Arabidopsis thaliana: one gene and its partners. The protein of the gene in region 2 interacts with the protein of the main gene of each other region in a pairwise test. Each region holds a gene or a part of one and is shown on either strand. Other genes may lie near its edges.

Region 1 (5,958 bases), on a different chromosome or scaffold from region 2:
CTTCCAAAATTAGTGGTTTCTTGTTTTTAAATTTGAACAGTTGCAGTTTACAACGACTGTAGGTTGGTATCGATGTTGAAGACAAGGAAAGGAAGATTAAACATGATATCTTAGCATTTGCAGAAAGATTTTACTCTGCTGATGAAGTCAAGTTTTTGTCAACTTTACCGGACCCTGAAGTTCAGAGAAAGGAATTTATTAAGTTATGGACCCTAAAGGTAGTTTCTACTAACAACACATTTACTTGAGCCTGAAAATTGTAGCTTATCAAAAGTTTTAAAACTGTTGTGATGATTCTTTCAGGAGGCATATGTGAAAGCATTAGGAAAAGGCTTTTCTGCTGCACCTTTTAATACCTTCACAATCCAGTCCAAGGTTGGAACAAAAGGAGAATACAATCTTTGCAAGGTCTGTTTTGATCTTAATTTACACAGTGGAATTGAATAAGGAGTTTATCAAATGCGATTAGTTTTTGTGTTGTACACTTTCTGAAATTTCATTTGCAGTATACATACAGTAGTGGTAAAATTAAAGACGCTTGATTGTTTTCTCTAGATGACTGAAATGACTGCAAGTTCGCTGGAGGAGACAAACAAATGCGATGGAGAATGGAAGTTTTCCCTTTTGGAGTTGGATGATTCTCATTATGCTGCAATCTGTATTGAAGATGATGAAGCTAGTGGAGGTGCAATTTTCAGTTGACATATCTCTTGATACTGAAAAATCCATTTTATTCAGTAATTTCTTCATCACATCTTTTTCCTTCTTGCAGGAGCTCCTATGAGGGTGATTGTCCGAAAAACCATCCCGTTTGTAGAAGATGAACTTATATCTGAAAGCAAACTTCTTTAGTTAGTGTAGCCTTAAACCTTCAGATTTCTCTGTAATCATTCTGTTTTGAGTACATCCTCTCTGTAGTATACATTCTGTGCAAGCGAAAAATAAAAGTAGCCTATTATTGGACCATCATGTTTGTGAGACACTTGGAAGATCACCAGTAATCTTTGCACGAGCAGACCCCGTCTTTGAAATAGTGGAACCGAGATGCATCCCTTACAACAAACTGGCGATCTACAATCTTGCTAACCTGCTTGAGGAACACATGACAATCTTCACAAACCCTCAAATTCTTTATCACAAGAATTTCTGTGCCTGGAATACTGTTGAGAATCCCAAAAGCTATTGCTAACCTCTCGCTATGCTCACGGGTAGTGCTCGAAACCTCTTCGCCTCTATCACAGTCCATGTTTCCCGCAAGCTCCATCACAGAAGTCTCTAACTCATCCAACATTCTATGGACTTCCTCTGTTTGCTCATGACTTCTATCGCCAGCTAAAAACAAGTGAACTCTTCCCTTGTGTTCCACATAACTATACCCAGGCTTTTTCCTGAATGCTCTCTCTCTCATCATTACCCGGATTCTCCAGATTCCTTCTTGGTTTTTCGAGTCTGAATATATATTTGACATCAATACATAGTAGCCAATGTTATTGGGTTCAAACTCAATCACCTTTGCAAAAGCTAACTCTGCCATATCCACATTCTTATGGATTTTACAAGCACCCAATAGAGCACCCCAAACAGCACCGTCCGGTTCAACAGGCATTGACTCTATAAACTCCATGGCTTCATCTAGCCGACCAGCTCTTCCGAGTAGATCAACTAAACAAGAGTAGTGTTCAGGACCAGGCTCCAGCTTATACTCTCTCTTCATCGCTCTAAATAACTCTAAACCTTTATCCGTTAGCCCTGAATGGCTGCAAGCAGATAAAACCATTACAAACACCGCCCCATCTGGTCTTATGCCTCTTTTTATCATATCATCAAAAAGCATAAGCCCAATCTCTCCCATTCCATGCATCCCATAGCAACCAATCATGGCGGTCCATGAAACTAAGCTTTTTACAGGCATGATGTCGAAAACAGCACGTGCCTTTGCCAAGTTACCGCATCTAGCATACATGCTAATCGATGCATTGCTTACAAAAACATTTGGTACAAAACCATTGGATTCTACTAACTTCCCTACTTCGTGACCAATCTTCTTAGCTCCAAGATGGGCACAAGAAGACAGAACACTAACCAATGTAAAAGGATCAGGACAAACACCCGATGATTTCATCTGCTCATAAAGTTCCAGAACATCGTAAGCTAGCCCGTTCTGTGAATATCCAGAAATCACAGCATTCCAAGTAATCAAACCCTTCACAGGCATCTCATCAAACAACCTCCTACCAGCTTCTACCGACCCGCATTTCATGTACATTGTGATGAAACTATTCAAAACAGCTACTTCAGAATCCAGTCCTCCTTTAACACATTGACCGTGAAGAGACCTCCCAAGCCAGAGGTATTCAGGAACCGTGCATAGCGGGACAAGCCCAAGCATTGTAACTGAATCCACAGACACACCAGTTTCCTTCATTCTACGAAACATATACGCAGCATCAGTGACCTTCGAGTTTGCTGTGTACCCAGATATCAAAGCATTGTAACAAACACTAAGCTGACTTGACTGAGGATTTTCTTCGAACACTTTACGTGCATCTGCAACCAAACCGCATTTACAATACATTGAGATCAGAGCCGTTAGTACAAACGGCTCAGTCTCGCAACCGCCTTTGGTCACGTGGCAATGTAGCTGTTGGCCGGAGACAGGGAGCGAAAGGGAAGCACAAGACTTGAGAATGAAAGGGAAAGAGAACGCGTCGGGAGAAGAACCAGAACGGAGCATTGACCGGTAAAGAGATATAGATTCAGAAAACAATGACTGATATGCGAGCTCTCTCAAACGTACGTTCCATGGCGTCGAAGCCACCGCAGCGACGGCGGAGTTCCGTACAAAGCTTGTAACGACGATCATGGTCTCCCGCGCTGATTATGACTTGTTTGGGTTAAAACGCATAGTTCTAATTTTTATGAGAATAAGGCCCAAATAGTATGGGCCTGTAGCCCAAAGTAATCCGAAAATTTGGGGGAATAGAGTTATACGTAAAACCAAACGGGTATTAATCTGTGATAGACCATTTCTTCTTCTCAGATACTTTCCTCCATCTGGAAATCGTTGCCGCCGCTATTTCCTCAATAAACCAGATTAAACCTTCTCTTCTTCATCATCTTTCTCAACCGCCGTAGGTTGGAGGGAAGCTCGCGCGGCAAGTAATAGCCGGAGCAGCTTCCGACCAACGGATCGGGGTTACTAGGAGCTCAGTTTCTGGTAAGAGAATCGGTTTAATCACTGTTGTTTTATTACTTATGGTAGCTGAGTGGTTTTCGAATGTTATCTGATTGATTCGTGAAATATCTTAAGATTGAATAAGATCATCTTTTGTTTGTGCATAAGGGGAGGATAAGCTGATAGTAGAAAATCTAGATTAGACAATTGATGGTACTGAGTAATAACTAATAACTAACCTTAGGAGTATGATTGGTTTCTAGGGTTCTTATGAGATGTATTTTGCGATCATGTTCCTTTCTTTTTCGTCATTTTTATGGAGTTTCATACTCGGAGTTGTATTAGTAGCTTTGATCAGTGTCTTGCGAAAACAATGTGTTTTTAAACCAGGCCTTGTGAAACCATTAGCCTTTGTGTAACATCTGGAGTTTATTGTGCTGTTCTCTCGTTTACTTGGTTAATGCTTAATCATTGCGACAGAAATCAGGGTGGATATTCACTTGGAGTAAGGTGCAGCTCGTATAAACTGTTCATCATGCCGAGCCGGAGAAGTGAGTCTGCTATTAGGCTAATTACGTACTCTGAGGAGCTTGTGGATGGAAAACCGTTCTTTGCTTTTTCCAATTGTCTTCCTGTGAAGGCTTTAAACCGTGAACCTGCTGGTCATGCCTTCCATTCTGCTGCGCTTAAACTGCATGGTTGTGCAGAAGAACCCACAGACGATGAAGGTGGTGATAAGAAAGTGGGAGATGATAAAGAGAAGGAATATGTTCCTTCATTCAACTCGTATGCCAACAAAGGAAAGAAGAAGTCTGGTACCCAGCAACAAGACCACTATGCGTTGTTGGGTTTGAGCAATCTAAGATATCTTGCGACGGAAGATCAGATTAGGAAAAGTTATCGTGAAGCTGCATTGAAGCATCATCCTGATAAACTCGCTAGTCTCCTTCTGTTAGAGGAAACAGAAGAAGCCAAGGAGGCAAAAAAAGATGAGATTGAATCTCGCTTCAAAGCGATTCAAGAAGCATATGAGGTATTGATGGACCCAACTAGGAGAAGAATTTTTGACTCCACTGATGAGTTTGATGACGAGGTCCCATCGGATTGCTTGCCGCAAGACTTTTTCAAGGTGTTTGGTCCAGCGTTTAAGAGAAATGCTAGGTGGTCAGTGAATCAGCGTATTCCAGATTTGGGAGATGAAAACACACCACTTAAAGATGTTGATAAGTTCTACAACTTTTGGTACGCTTTCAAGAGTTGGAGGGAATTTCCTGATGAAGAGGAGCATGATCTTGAACAAGCAGATTCCCGTGAAGAACGTAGGTGGATGGAAAAGGAGAATGCAAAAAAAACTGTGAAGGCTAGAAAGGAGGAGCATGCTCGAATCAGGACTCTTGTTGACAATGCGTATAGAAAAGACCCGAGAATTGTGAAAAGAAAAGAGGAAGAAAAGGCTGAGAAGCAACAGAAAAAAGATGCAAAAATTCAGGCCAAGAAGAAGCAGGAAGAGGACGCTGCTATTGCTGCTGAAGAAGAGAAAAGGCGAAAAGAAGAAGAAGAAAAGCGAGCAGCAGAATCTGCACAACAACAAAAGAAAACTAAGGAAAGAGAGAAGAAGCTCTTACGCAAAGAACGAAATCGTCTTAGAACTCTCTCAGCTCCTCTCGTGGCTCAGCGTCTGCTTGACATCTCTGAGGAAGATATAGAGAATCTATGCATGTCACTTAACACCGAGCAGTTGCAGAATCTATGTGATAAAATGGGAAACAAAGAAGGACTAGAATTGGCAAAGGTGATCAAAGATGGATGCAACAGTAGTAGAAATGATGAAGCCGAATCTAAAGAAAAAGTAAGTAAGAAGACCAACGGTGGCACAGAGCCTACAACCCGAGTTTCACAGTTAGATAGTAGCACTCAGAAGAAACAACCATGGAGCAAGGAAGAGATTGATATGCTGAGAAAAGGAATGATAAAATATCCAAAGGGGACATCGCGGAGATGGGAAGTTATTTCAGAGTACATTGGTACAGGAAGATCTGTAGAGGAAATTCTGAAAGCAACTAAAACAGTTCTCCTGCAAAAACCAGATTCAGCTAAAGCATTCGATTCTTTCCTCGAGAAGAGGAAACCCTCTGCTTCAATCACATCCCCTCTCTCCACAAGAGAGGAGCTCGGAGAATCTCTACCCACAATGACGACCACAACAAATGCAAAGCCCTCTAAAGAGACTGTTGTGGGGAAAAGCTCGAGCAGTCAAAGCTCAGACAACAATGGTGAAGTAGGTGGAAGTTCAGACGCAGATAGTTGGTCGACTGTGCAAGAAAGAGCTTTGGTTCAAGCTTTAAAGACATTCCCGAAAGAGACAAGCCAAAGATGGGAGAGAGTAGCTGCAGCTGTCCCTGGTAAAACGATGAACCAATGCAAGAAGAAGTTTGCAGAGCTTAAGGAAATCATTAGAAACAAGAAAACCGGAGTATGAGGTAAAATCATTTCGGAGTCCCATGAGAATTTTGGGTTTTAATCCTCTTGGGGCACCGTTACTTTGCGAGAAGCAAGACCTAAAACTTTTTTATTATTTGTAATGATTCATTTCCCTTTGATGTCTCTATATATTGAGAGTGCTGGAGCCACTATTATGGAGTATGTTGTTTTTTACATAATCTTATGTAACGTTTGATTAGCGTCTAGTTTCAAGTTGTGAAATAAAGCGCATCGCTCATGCTGCTGTGTCTCCGGTCCCAATTAGAGGTTGGGCTACAATAAGCCCTAATTTTGATTTGCTT
Region 2 (6,170 bases):
AGGTATGCTCCTGTTACTCGGTTACTTTTTCATATTTATGGCGATTTGATATTGTCTTCACAGAATACTGTTTTTAAGTTAAATAAGAAACAGAGATTTCAGCTTTCGTGTTTCTTGATAACTAAACCATCTTGTTGCTCTTTGTAAGCCTTCTATCGAAGTGTACCTCTGACAAAAGTGTTCTGTACCATTGTTATGTTAAGTTATTTCGTTGACTGAGCCAATATGGTTATTTTCTTTTTATTTTGACAGGTAAAACGAATAGAAGAAGAAGATGAAGCAGTTATAAAGTCGATATTTGGTGTAAGTGTTCATGTCATTCTTGCGTAAATATTGGTTCTTCACATGACATCTAGCTTTGCTAAACTTTTTCATATTTCTGTTTCATCTGAAATGCAGAAACAGAAAGAAGTTATTAGGAGAATTGCAGATGAAGAAATTGATGATGATTATGATGATGATGATATCGATGATTATCCCAGCCTTCAGAAGGAGAAGAAAGGATCATCGTCAGATCTTTCAAAGGTTCCTCTATCAAAACATATATCTTTCAGATTTCCCTCATCTTCTCATCATGTTTCAGATTTTTTGGAATCAGGACTAACTGTTAATTCTTTTATCTTTGATACAGAAGAGGAAGGCAACAGAAGTAAGTCCAAGCAACCCCACAGATATTTTGACTAGTTCTTCTGCAGGTGGGTTTTTTCAATCTTTCTTTCAAGTTTATCGACTTTGATTTCCTTTTTTCGGTTGAATAATGTTTAACGGGTTTCTCCATTTACGACCAGAAAATCCGAAGGAGCCCAAGAAACAAGCTATCAGCAAACAACCCTTTAAATCCGTTCACATAAAAGTCATCAAGAAGCAACCTCAACCAACTTCATCGTCAACTCCGGCTCCTGCAAAACCAGAGGAGAAGAAGAGTGATGGTGCGGCTAACACCAGTTTAGCCTCTTTATTCCAGAATTATGGTAGTGATGAAGATGAAGATTGATTGTTTTTGTTCTCGACAAGTTCCGCACTTTCACAGATCTCATATCACTGTTTTAGAATTCGAGCTCTTATACTGTCGATATATGTGAGATCTTTCAGAATTTTCAGAAATTTGTTCATGAAATTGTTTTTGCAATTGATTTGGATTGATAGTTAGCTTCTGATGAAGCGGACCCACTTACAAAAACTTCCAGGTAAATACAGCAAAATAAAAGAGAGAAACGGTGAGCACACCATTTCTTGAATGACACTCCACACAATCTGTAACTCACTTTTGCCCTTTCTTCCTCCACAACTCACCAAACATCTTCATCCCAGAACTCTTCCTCTTGCCACTTCCCAGTCCATCATCATAATCATCAGCCATTCCCGGTGGATCCATGAACCCAGCTGACGGGTCAAAGAACCCACCTGCATAATACTTCTCAGTTGACCCAGATCGATCCCGACCATTCATCTCAAACTCTCCAGAAAGAACTGCTGCTGCAGCATCCGCTGCCTTCCTCCACTGCTCGGTTTGAACCCTGAGCTTCTTCATCTCAGCCTCTAAAGCATCTTTTGCTTCTTCCATGGACTCAAGCTTCTCCTTCAGGTGAGCCGTCTTTGCTCTGCTTTCTTCTAACTCTTCCCCAATCCTACTCACCTTTGAAACCATCTCATCTTCATTAGCTTTCACATTAGAAATCTCTGAAGCTGAATCGCTCAACTGATTCTTCAAGCTCTCGTTTTCTTTGCCTAGTGATTCATGCTCTTTCTCCATGTCATAGAGTCTAGCTTTCAGCATCTTTATCTCATCTTCCTTTGCAACCAATTTCTCAGCTTCGTCATTGCCGCTTCTCAGTTCTTCTTCTTCTACTGCAATCTTTTCAACGGGAACCTCAAACACATCAGTCTCTTTCTGCACATCACCAGGGATTTCGTCTCTATCAATCCTCTCAGCCTCAGTTGCAGATTCCTCCACTCGAGCCAGCGGGTTTGGTTTCTTGGACTTCTTATGAAGCTCATCTTGAGCTTGTTTCTTCACAGCTTCAGCATTAGCCAACTGCTCCTTGAGCAATCTCAGTTCCTCTTGCGCTTGTCCTAACTGCGACTCTAGATCCGATATTCGTCCCCCAAGTTTCTTCTGACCAAGCGGATCACTGTTAGGTCCACCGCTTCGAGGAGATTTACGGTCAACACCGGGCTTAAAACTTTGATCCGTAGTGATCAGACGGTTGGAATGATTGGAATCAGAAGTAGATGACGATGACCTCAGCCTTGGAGCTTGCCTCTGAGACAACTCTGAAACTCTAGAGAAATACAAACAACAACAAAAAATCTTAAATCACATCATTACTCATGTGAGAAAATGGAGATTTCTTAGTCAAAATCGTAACCTTGGTCTTGGCATTTTGATTTCGTGTTGAGGATATAATAAGCAATAATTCACAACAGAGAAGCCAAAGTTGCTGGAAGCTCGAAGGTTTATGGAGTAACTTGTATAAAACTGAAACGTAAACAAAATCAGTTGTCATTTATTACAGCAACAACCAAAGCCATGACTCATGTCGGAAAATTCCGGGGAACTGAGATATGATTATAATCACGCGCCGTCAAAAGCGCGTGTGTATCAGTGTATGATATGTGTGAGAGAACAAGAGACAGTAATCTTCAAATGAGAAAAACCAGAAACAGAGAAGAGAGTTGTCAAAGCTGGGAACTTATAAACTTTATTTTAATGTTCGTTTGCTACATTTAATAAGCAAAAGGATCCAACTAAAAAGAGTTAAAACTTACCCTCGAAGAAGAAGAAGATGAGGTCAACTTTGCATTTGAAATCCAACAAGTGACTAAGAGAAACTATTAAAAATGGTCAAAGAAAGATTTGCGTTGGCTGATTGTGAGTCAGTAATAGGAACAAGAACATAAAACCAGAAGAATTACCCAAAAATGAGCAGAAAAGAAGAGAGAGAGATAGAGAGTTGTAGTGTAACGCATGTACCTTTTCGAAACAGACAGCTTTATTTGAAGACACTCTCTCAATCCAAGAAGCCTAGACTAGAGAGAGAGAGAGAAAGAAATGGTTTTATTTTATTTTTGAAGATTTGAAATAAAGCTGATCAAATTTAAAATCGAGGGACCATTGGGTAGGAGAAGGGCAAAAGTATAATTTTAAGTCTTGTAATAACGTCCACATATACACACACGTAACGTAACCATGATGTATATAAAGTCCGCATGTTTCATTCTTTTGTTTTATATTGTAAACCATCTTATAAAATGATCTAAAAAATGTAATTTTAATACAAGAGTGAATGTGAATGTTCGTATTGAATATAGATGTTATTTCTCAAATTTATAAGCATCATGTAAATTTTGTAGTTTTTGTGAGTTTTCCCTAGATATATATCAATATACGGTATGTGCCTTTAAATGAGTACAAGGTAAAATCATTGAAGTACAATTTCAAAGATCAGTAATAATAATGTATATAAAGTTCAGGAATTAACACTAAAAGCCTAAAACCATCAATATGGGATATTTAATTTTTGTATATTTATTTTGTAATAGATATATCCAGAGAAATGCATATAAATGTGGATTTATGTCACATAATTAGTTTCAATAGTTTATCATAAATACACACACATGTATATTACCTACATATCAATATTTCTGACACTCTTGTTTCTTTTTGTCGGTTTTGTACATGTTTCAATTTACAAACCTCTATTTTATTATAAACCTTCTCTAATCTCGACGTTTCTTTTTGTGATCTCCAACACGTCGAGAAACCAATTTGATGCTTCTTATAAGGAAAAAATGAAAACGAGATTACAAATTGTATTATTTTATGTAGATAGCATTGAATCGCCGTTTAATATTTGATGGCATGGGTGTCCATATCAATAAACAATTATTGTTAATTTGTTACCAAATAATTTGGATTTCATGTTTTGGTCAATGTCATTAGTTACTATACTAGTTGTAGCTGGCTCTATCATTTTGTTCAAAAATGCTATACGAAATCACTCACCTTAAAATTCAGTTCACGGCCTTAAAAAATCAGTTTCATTATATATTTGTTAACAACTTAATATGATCATTTCCCATTTCGAATATAAACGCAATAGAATTCGACCTAACATGGGTTGATCAAAAAGTAGAAATGCGACTATAATAAATAATTTAGAGCAAACATATTTTTATTAGTTGTTGGAAATTAAATGTAAATGGACGCTCTAAAGTAAGAAAAAGGTGAAGTGTACTTATTCAAGAATGAAAGACAAAAGCATGTGAGTAGAGGAACTCTTAAGTAAATCACTTCAAGGCTAAAAAAACCCTTAAACTCCCAAAGATGACCACCACTCTCACTCACACTTCAATTTATGTTCTCTCTTCTCATTTAATATCAAAGAGACCAAAGCATGTGTATCTTCATTTTTGTCGTCCTTTCTTGACATTTCCTCAACTACTAACTAACTATTCTTTTACTCCTTTAGCAAATCCCCCATTCATCACAAACTCTTCCAAACTATTGCTTTCATTGATAAAAATACATGGAATTGCTAAAATGGCAAAATCCCTCATTGATGCTAAGGTTTTACCAATAATGGAATCTCACGGAATCACGATTTATATTCCCCTTTTTTGTAAATTATATTCTTCATTTCATTTTTGTGCAATGCTTACCATTCATAATAATACAACCAAACAACCAACCTTCTGTAGGAGGAATTGAAAATCGTTTTGGTTTTTCTTATTGGCACATGTATGAAGTGATCAACATACACCCTCAAAACTAACTAACAATCTAAAACCATTCACTCCCGCTAACATAATATAAACAAAAGACTATATAACAACTTTGAAGCTTTCCTCTTTACCTTTGGGAACTCTCTATTGCCATGTAACTTCCCTGGAAGTCTCACCGCCGCTATCATCAGTCATATCTGATCTTGTATAGCTGATTCCTGCTCCTTGAAGGTAATGGTTACTATCCTGTTCTATGGCATTGTAATGACTGTTGTTACCATTGTCTGGAACAAGGTTTTGTGATGCAAGGTTAACGTTTTGATTCGAAGAAGATACGCCAACCATTTGCTGACGTTCGGCAAGAACAGCAATTGCACAAGCTAGCCCACCTGATGGAGATGATGATGACGGAGTTGATGGTTCCTCATTACGATCTTTTTCTGAAATATCATCAGGTGATGTGTTTCTCTGAATTCCTGGTTCCTGTTAAAGAAAGAAAATAGTTAGGCTTATCTTATTCAGATAAATGCTATATACTTCAAAGTTTACTAACCAAACAAATTACCTGCATCGAAAGCCATATTGCTTCCATGACCATTATATCTTCAAGATCAAAGTCAAACTGACCGTCCCTGAAGAGTTTTCCAGATAACCACATATCAGTCACCTGATATGAACCACTCAGATTCAAAGTTCCAACACGTATTACCGTTGTGCATATAACTTTAGCCAGAAAGGAATGATCTGAAAATGTAATACCATAACTGACTAATAAGAGACAATTTAAGAAGGGGTTCATTTTTAAGTTTTAACTGTAACGGTTCTCGAAGCATCAAAGTTTCTCAAGAGATAGGACTAATACAAATGAAATTTAACAGCTAAATAGAGAAAAAGGCTGTTCATACAACCCCATGGCATGGATACTCATAAAAGTCATTTAGGTCCATTTCTAGGAAAATGACAAACCTTGTAACCTGAGGGTGGTGAGATGGAAGACATGATTCTTGAGATGAAACAATTTCCTCATCATCCTCTGCGTAAAAGCTACTGATTGAGATTGCGAACCAAGAATAACAAAAGTGGTAAAATTTAACACATGTTGAAAGTTGAAACCGAGAGAAGAACTAACCTGCAGCAGAACCATACTCTGTATCAAGAGTCGCTGCACTAGTGCTAGAACTAGAAGAATATGACTCCAGACGTTTCTGCATTCTTTCTTCATCATCTTCAACTTCCTTCTGCCTCATCCTTATTTTGGCTTCTATAACTCGCTGCTCTTCCTTCATAACACAGAGATAACAATATTGGCAGAATCAGCCAGTAATTCCATCACATACTCTTAAAAACAATACTGTTTCAAGATTTAAGTCTGGCTTACAATTTGTTCAAAGCTCTTCTCCTCTTTAGTTTTCCCTCCACGATACTCGACAGCATAATTGGAT
Region 3 (7,218 bases), on a different chromosome or scaffold from region 2:
GATTTGAATTCTCTCGCGAATCCCAGAAACCACATTCCCCGGAAAATGTTTCTCCTCCCGAATAAAGTCTCCGACGACAACTCATTTTCGTCGGTGGTTTGACTTTGAGGAGCCGCCGCCGTGCAGTAACAACCTGTTGAGTTTTCTTCCAAAATCTCATCGACGAACTCGTAAACGACACAGAGAATCGCGTCGAGGAGGTCCAAGAAAAAGAAGACGATAAAAGATAGAGCGGCGTGAATCGCTGTCCCGAATTTTCTCGGGAAAGACATAGAAGCGGAGAGAATCTAGACCGTGGGAGAAATTGAGATGAGTGGTTAAGCCACGTCGCATGAGAGAAGTTTCGAATTTATTACCAAAGTTTAGATGCATGCACTACAATTATGTTATATGTTTTTTTTCTTTTGGTCGGAAAATCTTACGGATATGTTACTATTAAGTAAAAAGGCCCGAAGGCTTTCCCAGGCCCAAAATAGGGGAGCCTGATTTACCCGCAGATATCATAAACGACGTCGTTCTAAATCTTGCCTCTCGTTCTAAATCTTGCCTCTAACGACGTGTTTTCGGTTTTGCTTATAACTCTCCTTTTGGAGCTTGCTGATATATCTTCAATCTTTAATATTTTGCATTACTTTCTCAATTCTTTACTGCCTCACCAAGTAACGATCTCTTTTCATTCACAACATGTTTCATCACTTTGTGTTACGTTTATATTCACAACATTCTGTCTGTATATATATTTGTGTTGTTTCTTTTAATCAAGGCGAGACCAAAGCTTATTCACATTATGGAACTTCAAATTCAACAGCGAAAGCAAGCTGTGAAGGACATTAAGATGTTTGTGTGCATTAACTTTATTATATTAATGGTATCAGTATCATCCATCCAAGATTCTTCAAAAGCTTGTTGTGGTAACGTTTGATGTATTATAGCAATGTTGATTTTGTTGTGTGCAGGAGGAGAGAAGAAACACAGCGACTTCTAAAGGATGCCGTCGGTAAAGATGGAGAATAAAGTTTCTACACATTGTGTATATAGAAGTTGAATTAAAGAAATACAAAAATCGTATGGTAATATTACTCCGAAAAAATGTTATGCTACATGGTCATTTATCTCCTTTACCAGTGGGATCAGAGTTGGTGATATGAGGATTTCTCTGGTGTCGTTGAGAAGTTAAACGCCGTTCCAAGGGAGTTTTCCTCTTGCTGACAACAAACCTATTCACTCCTTTCCTCATCGGCATTATCGACGGGAAATCTTCGTCTGGGATCTCACTCAGCTCTGATATGTTCTTAATCTCAGCCACTCTCTTAAACCATCTCTCTGCTTTTGCTTCCTCTGACATGTCCAACAAGTCTGACTCCTTCACTAACGAACCCTCCAAGCTCTTTCCATTTCTGATCTTCACTGCCACTGTATCAGATTTGTTGATTGAAGGTTCTCTTGGTTCTTGTTGTACTACCTGAGAAACGTTTTCTGTCGCCGGAGCTGGAAGAGTATCTATTGATTCCTTGGGTTGTTTCTCTTTGGCGAAGTAGTCAGGTGGGAAAGGGACAAAGGGGACAAAGTCTGAATCTTCTGGCCTCTTGTATGCTGGAGAAGTCAGTGAACGGTCTTTCTTCCTACTCACTACAAACCGATTCTCTCCTTTTCGCATAGGCATTTTCTCAGGAGAAATCTCTTGCGGTATTGCGCTTTCCAAGTCTGAAACATTGTGCAGTTCGGTGACCCGTTTGAACCACCTCGCAGGTTCCTCTGATTTGTGATCTTCCTTTTCAAGGCGATCTGTTTCTTTGCCAGAGTGATTTGCATCTGACTTGTCCTCTTGATAGACATTTTGATTGCCGCCTGAGAAACCATCCACTTGGATGTTGTCAATCAGACCTATCTGTGTTTCCTCCTTAGGTTTCTTGGCAAACATATCCGAAGGTAATGGCACGAAAGGAACAAAATCGGTGTTTATTCCCTGAGAAGATTCAAACCTTCTGGAAGATACATTCTTGTCATCAGAACGAGAAGTCAAAGAGGATGAAGAACCAAGAATCTCATTCAAGCTCCTAGTTGTTTTACTTCCCAAAGCATTATCGTCGCTCCTTTTCGAGTTTCCATCTGTAGCTACTCTGTTCTCAGTATTAGCCAACCTTCTCTCAAGAGGTGGCTTCCTCGTGCTAACAACATATCTATTCACTCCTTTCCTCAAAGGCATAATCTCTGGGAAATCTTCATCTGTATCAACACTGTTCGCATCAGAACCACCCTGTGCTACTTTACTAAGCCACCTCTGTGCTTTCTTTTCGTTTTCGACCAGTCTTCTCTCAAGTTCAGGGTCACTTGAATAATCAGAGTTGGCTGAATTGAGTGAAGAGTCCCTGGGTCGCTTGCAGTCACATCTTAAGCAAGCTACATTCCTCCCGTAATTATAGAAATCACATCTGATAAGTGAAACAACCAAGAAAGAAAGGAAAGGTTAACCTCATCATTCCTCATCGCATTAGTCATAAAGTAGCAGAGAGAAAAAATCAGTTTCTTACTGAGGACACTCCCATTCACTACCAGTAAGCTGTCTCTTTGGTCTTGCTTCATCACACTGGAAGCATTTGACATTTCTCGCAAAGTTCATGCCACTGCACCTGTTTCAACAAATTCCCACATCATATATATAGATTCCCTAAACGACAAGATGATGAAACAAAGACAATTACACCATACTGACTTCTTAGCTCTAAAAATAAGATCTTTCGACCACAATACTAGTGTAATAGTCAGAAGTATACTTGTTCAAGCTCAGATCCAGAAGATTTTTTTTTATGGTATCCTTATATCTAGGCCTACTTATATCTTTCCATAGAAGAATGGTAACCAAAAGGCCATAGGAGATTTACACCAAAAAGCTACTGAGAATCCAACAAATTCATACCTCGAGCAAATCCAGTCACCACGTTTCATCTCAACGTTATTCTGAAAAGACCTGACTCCTTGTCCATCTCTATCTGAGTACTGATTTTGCATCGTGTCATGAACATTCGACTCAGGAGGACGCAAGCTCATCTTCGCTATCTGACTCAAGAGGCTTCGAACCGATGACTCCATAATCTCTTTGTTATGTTGTTTGCTCTCCTCAGAAGAAGCAACATCCACAACATAACTCAAAATAAGCCTCATCAAATCAACTGTACTCGCCTTCTCCATATCCATCAACTAATGTAAAACACAAAAGATCATAACTTTGAGGCACAAATCACCATTGAACCAAGTTTAGACATAACCTAGCATTCACCAATAAAAGACTAAGCATTTGCCAGAAGATAGAACTTACCTTACCAATGCCCTGAAGACCACTTCTTAGGTAAAGGCTCATCCTTTTAAGTGAATCTGGACCTGTCTTGAATAAAAATGGCTTTCCATTCTCCACCAGCACTTCAACGTCTCTCCTCGAAAGCATTCTAATAAACACTAACATCATCAGATATTCAGATTGAGAATCAATCCAAAAAGAGAAAGAGAAAAAATTGCAGATTACTTACTCAAGCAGTTCTGGTCGTTCACGAGCTAGAGCTAAGCAAGCAAGAGCTGGACGGAGAAGTTCATCAGGAAAACCGGGAAAGAATTCACTTTCTAAACCAGAAATCGAACCGGAATCTGAGAAGTAACCAGCTTTGGAGAGAGATTGGAGTAGCTCTGTCCATTCAGGTAGCTGCTGGTTGTGATAAGAAGGAACAAAATCTGCGGCGGAGACACGGACTTGGTGATTGTAGAATCGTCCTATAGGAAACGTGGGGATAAGCGGCGGCAATGACACGAGTGGACGGAAAGAACATAGATTGGTTGAGGCAACGGACGAAGGAGGAAACGCACGGCGGTGGAAACGGCGGAGATTGGCTATGCGGCTGATGTAGAGACCACGGAGTAGAAAGAGAGGAGGAGGATGAGGAGAGAAGAGGGAGATGAGTCTGGTGGAGTTGTTCATCGTTGCTCGTCGTCACTGGTTTTATTTTTACCGGCGAGAATTATTTCAGTGATGTTTAAGGAAAAAAAAAGGATTAATAAATCGCAAAATAATTGCAAAATGAAGAAAAAAATAAGCCCATATTGGCTAACATAGGCCCATAATTCTGTGTGCTACTACTTGGGCTTGCCATTATGAATGTTTGGTAACTTTGGTAAATAATGTATTTCATTCAAATGGGATGTCTCTTAAAGAAAAAGTAAATGGTTTCGTACTAATAATGGAATTAACCCAAGTAACGAACTGATAGTAATCTAATCTAAGAGATGTTTTAAAGATAAGCGTAAGTTTTATGTTGAAATCTTCAGTTTATACAATATAAAAAGGAGTTTGCAGATTCGGTATTTATCAAATTGCACGTCGATTTGACATCAATTTTCGTGACTTGAAAAGTTGAAGTGTACATTGTACAATGTCATACGCATGCATACATTTCTTTTGACTTAAAGCCGCTATAACTTTAAAAGATTTATAGTCATACATTTCTCCGTTATTGAATTTTCACTTACTTAACAAACCTCGATTATAGTTATACTTCTACATATGTTCGTAATAAGTGATGTTTACTTGTTTAGAGATTTCAATTCACATACGTTATTTAATTTCTAACTTTTGTTTTTCTTAAATTAATAAGTTTATATGTTACAACTTACAACTTTCGAAAATAATAGATGATATAGACTATTTTTACATATACTATAGAAAAAAGCTATGTCAAGGATCTAAAATAGTTATATTTATTATGTATTAGTACTTCTTGGTTTCAGAACTTATACAATTACAATATATAATAAAACCTAAGAAATAAAAATTAACTAAAAAATAATACGTTATGAATATAGTTTTATATAAACGAAAGAAACGAAAATTAAAACATCAGTGGAACTAAAAAGGAGAGAATAATATTTGTGTTCTCTTGAACGTGGGAGTCACTGTGAGTTAAAGTTGGGTGTGGATTAGTTGCCGATCACTGCCGTCAACTTTTGACTAATGTTTATTCTGATTAACACTTTTACATACACTAAGCTATTTATAATGTAATAACTAATTTCTTTGTTTAGATCTATGTGGAGTAAAATATTGGTGAGTACGTAGACAATTAACTGCCTTGATAATGACTTCAATCTAAGTCCGTAAGGTATAACCTCATTAATTCCCCTAGAAATGTATTTTATCATAATTAATTACTATTTATACTTTGATGTGACATGTTTAGTTCTATGCCACAAGTGCAATGGACGGGCTAACAACTTTGACATGATTTGTAATTAAAATTCAATTTTAATAAAGAGACTTTATGTCATTACATCATGAGATAAAGCCCTAAATTCCTCAAATTAGTTAAAGTGTCTTCTTTAAAACTAATCAAGAAGTTTTAAAGAAACTTTTTCTATGTTAATGTAATTAGTGTGACTTATCTCATGAATCATGATTATCCGAACATTATTTTAGCGCTTGGAGTTTCGAAGTTACCTTTTCTCGCCACCTTTTGTTTTCTGGGTCTATTGAAAGATTGTCTCAAATTTTAAAAGGATAAGAAAAACACAATTCCATTAACTTTAATCGTACAAGTGAGAGTGTTAGAAATTGTGGTTAAACAATGATCAATAACCACTAACCATTTCGTAAAATTCACCGACGACTTTATCAAATGACGAACATGATCCGATGGATCCACGAACTACCGAAAGAGAAGTAACCTCAGAACTATGTAGAAAAAGCAATCCTATTATTCATTCGAACTAATTCAATATGCAGCTAGTTTTTTGGTCTAACGACTTCTTATCGTACCATTTTTCATCTCTTATCATTTTTACCATATTCAACCATACCACCATTTTTATCACTATTTTGTACAGTTACAAAGCTCTTACCGTCTTGCGCTATTAATCGGACCATTAAACAACTTCACATAAAATTTTATATTAGACGTTTGAATTTAAGTCGAAGTTTTGATAATCTTAAATGTAACCCCTAAAATACAGTCGATAGTATTTGATGAAACAACTCCCTCATTAAAAATCGATTACTTTTATAAAATAGCTGTAAAATAAATGGCAACCCAAACGAAACAAAAAATATCTATCCCCCGAAACATATTACATATACTCCACATCTTTCATATATGTTTGTTTATCGGTATGTCTTTAATATTATCTCTTCTTACCCCAAAATTATACAACAATCTTTCAAATTACAGACCACTTTCATGGTCGTTGGAAAAAAATAATTCTTCCATAGTCGAGAATATGATTTGCAAAAATGTTATTAAATAATAATCATTCAAAGTATCTTAATAAAAAAACAAAAGAAAAGTGGAATTGGTCCATAACGGTTCGGGGAACTTTTCTATGAACCGGAAACTGAAATTCGTGAGGACGGTACACGTGTTAGGTAAGAACACGATCCGCTCGTGTGTAACAGCCAATGATGTCGTCATTCCACGTCGGTACAAGACTTTTTTTTTGTCGTCAACAGAAGATTTCAAAATTAACGAAACCGTTCCCATAACCGAAACTCACATAAAAACAAGACACAATAAATAAAAAACTTTAGGTACTTTTCTGTCGTTTCTTTGGTTTCTAACGTCTATTCGTGTTATATTTGTTTTATTCTTCATTTATTATTGTTGAATTTAATTCTAGTTCGAGTTCAGTTACATGATTTCTCTCTTTAATCTCTAGTATTTTAATCCATCAAAATTATGTGGTTGCATACTCGATCGAGTTTAGTACAATTACTAAAATATGTAGCTTTGTTTAGTCATATCAAGACTATAGTAAGTTGTTACGCATGAAAGATAATTATTACATTCAAACGAATGACCACTCAATTCTTATATCAAAAAGATACAAAAAACTAAAGTCTACAACTTATAGGTTCAATGGGAGCATAAATAGTCCATATCATTGAATAATAATGGTCTTCAATAGAGTTGGTTGTTCAATTATTATTTTTGGTTTATAAGAAATGAATTGAACTTTTGTTTGTCACCATTCACATTTTCTTCTCTTTTTTGTACTTTTAGTTTTCCTAAAAATTAAAAAAACTATGTTCCCTTCGTACCTAAAACTTACTTTAAAATAACCAATTTGATGATAGTTTTTTTTAAAAAACTTCAACAAAGATTATATATTTCATCCTGAAACAAAAATTACAGCAAAATTTAAATTTAAACTAGTAGCAAAAAATATAGGATGTGCATATGTTTT

What was found. The genes of interacting proteins can lie anywhere in the genome.
Region 1: the proteins of ICR1 (region 2) and AT3G11460 interact in a two-hybrid assay, tested with the Arabidopsis thaliana proteins (one study listed by BioGRID).
Region 3: the proteins of ICR1 (region 2) and VAR3 interact in a two-hybrid assay, tested with the Arabidopsis thaliana proteins (one study listed by BioGRID).

The regions. Positions count from the first base shown.
Region 1 is NC_003074.8:3,605,155-3,611,112, reverse strand, and holds AT3G11460 (Pentatricopeptide repeat (PPR) superfamily protein), read right to left. Parts: upstream 2,864-5,958; coding exon 992-2,863; downstream 1-991. Other genes in the region: AT3G11470 (4'-phosphopantetheinyl transferase superfamily), read left to right, coding at 63-218, 304-408, 556-685, 773-852; AT3G11450 (DnaJ and Myb-like DNA-binding domain-containing protein), read left to right, coding at 3,711-5,654. UniProt on the Arabidopsis thaliana protein: Involved in C-to-U editing of mitochondrial RNA. Required specifically for editing the mitochondrial NAD2 transcript.
Region 2 is NC_003070.9:5,855,479-5,861,648, forward strand, and holds ICR1 (interactor of constitutive active rops 1), read right to left. Parts: upstream 3,073-6,170; 5' UTR 2,975-3,072; intron 2,969-2,974; exon of another isoform or gene 2,833-2,968; 5' UTR 2,770-2,832; exon of another isoform or gene 2,480-2,769; 5' UTR 2,384-2,479; coding exon 2,370-2,383; intron 2,283-2,369; coding exon 1,262-2,282; 3' UTR 1,095-1,261; downstream 1-1,094. Other genes in the region: AT1G17130 (coiled-coil protein (DUF572)), read left to right, coding at 1-2, 253-303, 400-525, 632-695, 789-994; AT1G17145 (RING/U-box superfamily protein), read right to left, coding at 4,873-5,211, 5,294-5,360, 5,695-5,761, 5,858-6,008, 6,107-6,170. UniProt on the Arabidopsis thaliana protein: Acts as a scaffold, mediating interaction of ROPs with different proteins. Required for primary and adventitious root maintenance, but not for their formation.
Region 3 is NC_003076.8:5,868,705-5,875,922, forward strand, and holds VAR3 (zinc finger (Ran-binding) family protein), read right to left. Parts: upstream 4,079-7,218; 5' UTR 3,968-4,078; coding exon 3,525-3,967; intron 3,444-3,524; coding exon 3,317-3,443; intron 3,199-3,316; coding exon 2,918-3,198; intron 2,631-2,917; coding exon 2,532-2,630; intron 2,433-2,531; coding exon 1,106-2,432; 3' UTR 992-1,105; downstream 1-991. Other genes in the region: AT5G17780 (alpha/beta-Hydrolases superfamily protein), read right to left, coding at 1-272. UniProt on the Arabidopsis thaliana protein: Probable component of some protein complex required for chloroplast and palisade cell development. Involved in C-to-U editing of chloroplastic RNA. Controls a large number of chloroplastic editing sites.